Cricetulus griseus: one gene and its partner. The main gene of each other region encodes a partner of the protein of the gene in region 2 in a complex. Links are inferred from orthologs where the notes say so. Each region holds a gene or a part of one and is shown on either strand. Other genes may lie near its edges.

Region 1 (3,750 bases), on a different chromosome or scaffold from region 2:
AACGTTTCTTTGTCAGGATTTGCATAGGTAGGAATATGTCTGTTCTAGCATGTTAGATAAGTAGACAGAGGGAGAAGTCATTTTTGGCTTCAGATTTTGATTTGTTTTTTGTAGGATGACCCTCAACATTCAACACAGTGTGGCCCCACAAGAATGCCCTTATAAGTTCCCAAATTAGATTTAAAAATGTTCACAGAAGCTACAGTGTGAAATGGCTCCATGAATGACATTATAACTGGCAGTGACAATCTGTCTCCACTGTTGTAATCCCAACAAGTAGGGGGTCAGTGAGCTTGCAGCTGGTTTTGGCTGCAAGTTGAGAACTTGTCCCAAATGATTTTTCTCATTATAGCATATAACTTTTCAATGTGGATGACTTTTTATAACTAAAAGAATCATTCTGTAGACTGTATCTTGGAATTTGTGAATTCTTTTTTTTCTTTTTCTTAAAACATCTCATTACAGGTAAAGTTGCAGAGAAGGCACAGTCTAACTAATATCACCAACCCATGCATTTCCTAGAGGTTTTCCTTTTTCTTTTTCTTGGTTAGAGTCCATTTTCAGATTTTCTAAGAGAAGACTTTATCAATCCTGCCAGGATCTGTTTTTTCCCCTGCCTCCCTTTTTACACCTACAGACTTATCTTCAGAGGTAGTCTTTGGCAGGCTGATAACAAGTCCAGAGATGGGTCTAGTTTCACTTCTCCACATATGGTAGTCAGTCACACTGTTCGTACTCCATTTGTCAATAACTCTAGCTCCACAGAAAACACATCTACATCCAAAACAACACCTAGATATCAGCAAGCTCAACACATCGACCCACCTGGTGGACAGAGTGTGGAGACAAGCTCCCACGTGACACTTTATTTCCATCACTGGGGGTCACGGCTAACCACAGCTCAACCTGTCACCTAGGCAACAAAACATTCCCCCGTAACAGCACACGTCTGAGGCCTGTGACTTATTGTAGAGGTTGAAAACAGATCCACCTATTTATCACCTTTCAGTTACCCAAGAGGAGCCTGCTGATTCCTTTACGATTACGGTTATGACAATGAGAGCATAGGCTAAACATAGAAGGGTAGATGGGTCTAATCCTAGACCAGAATGGGATTTTCTGCATTAGCCCCTTCCTTCATTCCACTATTGATTATAGTTTCATTATTATTTGTTATACTTTTTTTTCATTTTAAGTGAGACATACAGGTATGGGTGACTTAGGTCTATAAAAATGAATATTGCAAACTATTTGTCTGTACTTGATTTCATGATCTCAAATAAGGGATGGGTTTTTAAAGGTGATGGAGGCTTTTTTTTTTATAATAAACCAACCTGACAATGAAACACTCATAAAATATCTCCCTCATCACCAACGGTCCCAGCTGTGTTGGGTCTAGCACATTCCATTATTAACTGCAGAGCTCTTACTTACAATCACTCTAGTTCCCAAGTGCTAAGAGCTTGAGGGCTCCTCATCTCTCAGAAACAGCATGGGGGAATTCTGACAATAGGAAGAATAATGTGTGTAGAACAGACACAGGGAAATGTGCAGAGTGATCATGTTTGGATAAAAATGAAGAAAAACATCAAAGCTACACAGAGAAACGCTGTCTTGAGAAACAACAACAACAACAACAAAAACGAAGAAAAAACATATAGTTGTTATAGAATTTGAAATGAGCCATTGGAGGACAGAAATAGGATAAAATGGAAAGAAGGTGTTCCAAAGAGATCATGGCAGAAGATGACATTTTAAAGAAAGGAAGGGCTACATCCCAATAGGTCATCACGAGACACACTGTGAATGTTTATGTGTGTGTATAGCTGTTTTCTCTTAGACTGGAGATCTGTGTGCTTCTGCCCACTGAAGGATTTGTGATGGGAGCACTGAAGAAGCAAGACACACAGAAAGCAGGACAACATACAAGGAAAGACCAAGAACATAACTGTTCATATGAAAAGGAGCTCTTCATAAAGAGGGTTAAGACCTCCTGAATTATGCACAGATGGTTATGGGAAAATGAAAGCAAGTAAGTAGGATAAGGCAGAGAATTTTCCATTTAAATTTGATAGTTGAAATGATGTAATTGATTCGAAGGAAAAGTCATCTAAAGATCCTCTGAAACTCATATAGCTCCCTCTCTGGTATTTACCTACGGCCAGTCTCTCTTTTCCCAACTGAAATAGAACCTAACCAAGTCCTCCAAAGATATCTGTCCATTCTGCACTCTCTTCCATTCACCAGACATAGAGATCATACCAGAATGTAAGAAATCACAAGACTTACCCCTCTCCCCTCTCTCCAGATGTGAAGAGCTGTTCTCTGTTACAGAGCCCTCTTCAGAATTCATCTTCTTTTTTTCTTCTCAAAATTCCCTGGCTTCTCTGGTGTATCTTAAGAGGGCTACAGTGAGCTCTTGCTGGAGCTGTCTTGTTCAGTGTCTTGGTCTCTGAAGCGTTTCAGCTTTTAAACCCCATCAGTCTGGCCCCACCCCTTCCTCCTCTCTTCTACTCGGTCAATTCTGCCAGTTCTCTTTAATTTATGCTCCAGTGGCCCAGACACTTCACCGTGTGTTGTGGTGGTGAGCTTCGGGCTTTCCCTGCTGTCTGAAATGTGCTTTCTCACAACAGTAGTTAAGTGGGATTTTCCCAGAATTGAAGACACCTTTCCCCAAATTTTTAGAAAATCATAAATAACTTAGGAAATAGCATAATCTAAGCAAAGAGTTAATGGTTTGAGGTCACCGTATTTGATATGGAAAAACACTGGAAGAGAGAGCAAACTTTGTTTTGTAATCCTACGCATGCATTTCTTTGTACCTGTAGCTATTGGCATTTATTGGGTATCTATTGTGTGCCAGGTGCTGCTGGTAGCCAGAAGGTGCGCTGTTGAGTAGGGAATTTTAAAATCTCTATCCGCGTGGCTCTCTCTCCAACTGGGACAGGTTTTATTTATGAAATTATGAATTTAAAAAGTGTGACGTTCACTTCTTTTCCCCCACAGGGACTAGTTCTTTCAAGTGTCATTTAGTCAGGAGTTGCTTTGGTGCAGGAAATAGAAAGCTTGTGGCCTGGAACTTCCTCGATGCGTTCTAAAACTGTTTATCTTCGGTAATCTATTTCATCGTCCCTTGCTCATTTTCTTGTCATCCTCCACTGTCAGACTTCCTTTGTTTCAGTGCAGAAAGTCTTTCTGTTTTCAGTCCCCATCCTGTAAGTTATTTGTTTGGTTCAGATATCTGTGACCTCAGATATTTGAAATGTGATTCCAATACCCATATCTCCCCATTGTACCAATCTCATCCCGGTAAGTTATTAAGTACAACACAAAACAAAGTGAGAAAGTGTCCATTTGGTGACTCAGGGGTTCTAATGAAAAGGATAAAAGTATCACTCTGATTAATAACTTTGGTGCCCAAAGAACACAGTCACTCCTGGAATAAGGTTGTCAGGTTTGCAGAATAAAGCTTTAGTGACGATGCTAGCTTAGGTAGGTTGGAAGATGCCATGCAGACAACTGAGGGGAGCCAGCAGGTGCATTTTTCTGCTTGAGACACAGACAGGTGCATATTGATCCTGGTGCCACTTTGTTCCCAGTACTTTCCTGCACAGCAGCTGGGGTGAGGTTTATAAATACATCAGAGCATCTTGGTGAGACAGTCAGCTCCCAAAGGCTTCCTCCCAAAGGCTCCCTAGAATCCAAAGAGCTCCTTAAGGCCAAGAAGAACCTATACAATGGCCTCTGGCC
Region 2 (3,710 bases):
TGAGCTCTCTCTCTCTCTCTCTCTCTCTCTCTCTCTCTCTCTCTCTCTGTGTGTGTGTGTGTGTGTGTGCCTGTAGAGGGGGGAGGGCAGGCGAGTACATGTCAGCACTGCACTCAGAATTGGCAGTTGGGGCCTTCTGTGAGAAGAGGCCCTAGGGCTGGTGGTGACCAAGTGCCTGAGCTGGTGACCACTTACAGGAATCTCAGGGTTGGAAGCTGAAGGTGGCAATGCCAGGGGAAATGGTGAGGGGCTGAAAACTAGAAAGGGACAGTGTTTCCCATTCCAGCTTTGTGGATTTAGTGACCAGAGGGAAGTTTGCCCTCAGTTTTTTGTTGTTGTTGTTTTCTCCCTCTCTTTCTACTTCACCTCTCTCTCTCTCTCTCTCTCTCTCTCTCTCTCTCTTTCTCTCTCTCTCTCTCTCTCTCTCTCTGTGTGTGTGTGTCTTGCTCTCTCTTTCTAGTTTATTTTGTTTTGTTACTAGAAATGATAATTTGAGTTAAAAAATCCTCCCTATCCTCCGGCCAAGATTTCTTAAAACAAATCAACAACAAACTGGAGCAGTCCCTTGGCCAGAATGAATTATTCTAGTGTGCTGGGCCTTTCCCCTGATTCTCTTTTCTTTGTAACTTCTTTAAGGCTGCTGCTGTTTCGGAGGCCCTCTCCAGCCAAAGAAAAGCTACACAAAAAGCTTTGGATTGCTCACTGACGGAGCCTGCAGTAACTGAAGGACTGCTCAACCTCTCCCTCTAGCGTTCGTCTGGAGAAGTACCACCCCGGTCTCCTGGGGACACATTGCGGCTATGGTGTCCACCAGCGTCCCGGTGGTTAAGCCCCTTCGTAGCTCAGTCTCCGACTATGGCAACTATGATATTATCGTGCGACATTATAACTACACAGGCAAGTTGAACATCGGGGCAGAGAAGGACCATGGCATTAAGCTCACTTCAGTGGTCTTCATTCTCATTTGCTGCTTCATCATCCTAGAGAATATATTTGTCTTGCTAACTATTTGGAAAACCAAGAAGTTCCATCGGCCCATGTACTATTTCATCGGCAATCTGGCTCTCTCGGACCTGTTCGCAGGAGTGGCTTACATAGTTAACCTGCTGTTGTCTGGGGCCACCACCTACAAACTCACCCCCGCCCAGTGGTTTGTGCGGGAAGGGAGTATGTTTGTGGCTCTGGCTGCCTCGGTGTTCAGCCTCCTTGCCATTGCCATTGAGCGCTACATCACCATGCTGAAGATGAAACTACACAATGGGAGCAACAGCTCACGTTCCTTCCTGCTGATCAGCGCCTGCTGGGTCATCTCCCTCATCCTGGGTGGCCTGCCCATCATGGGCTGGAACTGCATCGGCTCGCTGTCCAGCTGCTCCACCGTGCTCCCACTCTACCACAAGCACTATATTCTCTTCTGCACCACCATCTTCACTCTGCTCCTGCTGTCCATCGTCATCCTCTACTGCAGGATCTACTCCTTGGTCAGGACTCGAAGCCGCCGCCTGACCTTCCGAAAGAACATTTCCAAGGCCAGCCGCAGTTCGGAGAAGTCGTTGGCCTTACTGAAGACTGTCATCATTGTCCTGAGTGTCTTCATTGCCTGCTGGGCCCCTCTCTTCATCCTACTGTTGCTGGATGTGGGCTGCAAGGCGAAGACCTGCAGCATCCTGTACAAAGCAGAGTACTTCCTGGTTCTGGCTGTGCTGAACTCAGGTACCAACCCCATCATTTACACGCTGACCAACAAGGAGATGCGCAGGGCCTTCATCCGGATCATATCCTGTTGCAAATGCCCCAACGGAGACTCCACTGGCAAATTCAAACGGCCCATCATCCCAGGAATGGAATTTAGCCGCAGCAAATCAGACAACTCCTCCCACCCTCAGAAGGATGATGGGGACAACCCAGAGACCATTATGTCCTCTGGAAATATCAACTCTTCCTCCTAAAACTGGAAGCTGTTGATACTGGGGAAGCATTCTGACTTGGTCACCCACTACCCCAGAACTTAAAAAATGGCTCCCGTTCCCCTTGCTGCCTAGAAGGAGCTCCCGGGAGCCTGAAAGCGGGAGGGAAGGGAGAGTGTGTGGCCTGGCGATGCCATGATGTAGGTAGGTAGTTCTTGTGAACAATACACTGGGAAGGGTGGAGATTAGGTCTGGCCTCCAGTGGGTTTCCTGCCCTCCCCCATACCCTGGAGCTTTGATTTTGCACTGAGCCAAAGGTCTAGCATTGTCAAGCTCCTGAAGGGATCATCTGACCCCTTCTCAAAGACTAAGGTCCTATGAGAAAGTGTCCCTGGAGTTTTGCGATGTGATCTTTCACTGTAAAGGCAAAGTGAGTATGTGTCCTTCAGCTTGGTAGGGTGGTATGCATGTCCCACTCTCCCGCCCCTTCTTACCTCCCCTCCCCTTCCCACCTCCTCTCCATATTCTCTAATTTTATATCTTAACTGTCTGTTCGTCAGAAGGAGGTTATACGGGGCTCTATTTCTTGATTGTCTGAAACTGACAGGCTGTTAACTCGGAAGGCTATTTGCTGAGGCCAAAGTGTCCATGTACGATGCGTCAAGTTGTTGGTGATTTGCTAGGCTGTCTTTAGTATGAAAATGTTTTCTTTATTCCTCACAGGAATGCCTTATTCCCATTACAATCACAATGGATATGTGTTTGTAATGGAAATAACGAAGTCTACTTTATCTGAATTATACCAGCCATGATCTTAGGTGTGTTCTCTATTCCTCATGCATTCCTTATTCCCATTACAACTACAATGGACATGTGTTTGTAATGGGAATAATGAAGTCTACTTTATTTGAATTATGTCAGGTAGGATTGTAGAAGAAACAGGAGAAAAACAGAATACGGTGAACTGCGGGATTAACTTTCAGAAACCAAGAGTGACTTCTTGATGTCTTTCCTCTAACAAACACAATGTTTTTGGCACTTTTATTGATTATTTCAGAGTGTTGTGTGATCCATTTCAAACAACTGGGGGATGGTTGTATCTTGTTTAAAATACAATTTATGATTTTTGAATGTATTTGCTTCTTTGAGGCCATCTTATTGAGAGTTTTTTCCTAACCTGTGTTAACACCATTGAATGTGTAGTCCTTAAAAAAGTGTCACCCTTTTGTACCCGAAAAGCATTACTTTAACTGACAGGGGGCATCAGGAATTCTTCATTTCGGCTGTCATTAGATATTGATGGAGGGTGTAAATGTTACAGAGAATAAAAATATATTACTGTCTCTTTAGTATGGTTTTCAGTGCAATTAAACAAAGAAATGTCTTTTTAAAAATAGTATTTAATAGGTTTCTGACTTTTGTGGATCATTTTGCACATAGCTTTATCAACTTTTAAACATTAATAAACTGATTTTTTTAAAGATCCTTTTGTGAAGAGAACTTTTTTAAAAAGTCATTCACGGAGATATCTGTTGATTGTGTGGTTCTTGGAGTTAAAGTTAAGAGCAAATTTGTGGTACTCTTTAAAAGCTTTTACCTTGATAAGCTACGTAGGGTATGGAAAATGTGGTTTGTTTAGAAACCACTCTAGCTTTTTCAGGAAGAGAAACTTCAATAAACTAACATTAAAGACATGTAGAGAATAAGAGAAAAACCATCAACCTTTTAAAGACCACAGCAAACAAATTAACTATTTGGATTTCAGAGTCCATTGAGGCTAGATAAAACTAAGTGTGATAATTA

What was found. The genes of interacting proteins can lie anywhere in the genome.
Region 1: the proteins of S1pr1 (region 2) and early activation antigen CD69 are in contact, whole or in part, in a cryo-EM structure (PDB 8G94), measured with the Homo sapiens proteins. The link is inferred for Cricetulus griseus from reciprocal best matches to the Homo sapiens genes S1PR1 and CD69. Residues at the interface, in NP_001307659.1 of Homo sapiens: Asn157, Leu160, Phe161, Ile164, Ser165, Trp168, Val169, Leu172, Ile173, Gly176, Ile179, Met180, Gly181; in NP_001772.1 of Homo sapiens: Val41, Ala44, Val45, Val48, Val49, Thr52, Ile53, Ile56, Ile59, Ala60, Val63.

What each region holds. Positions count from the first base shown.
Region 1 is NC_048601.1:16,772,704-16,776,453, reverse strand, and holds the start of early activation antigen CD69, read right to left. Parts: upstream 2,354-3,750; coding exon 2,290-2,353; intron 1-2,289. UniProt on the Homo sapiens protein: Transmembrane protein expressed mainly on T-cells resident in mucosa that plays an essential role in immune cell homeostasis.
Region 2 is NW_023276806.1:42,535,298-42,539,007, forward strand, and holds S1pr1 (sphingosine 1-phosphate receptor 1), read left to right. Parts: upstream 1-765; 5' UTR 766-800; coding exon 801-1,949; 3' UTR 1,950-3,390; downstream 3,391-3,710.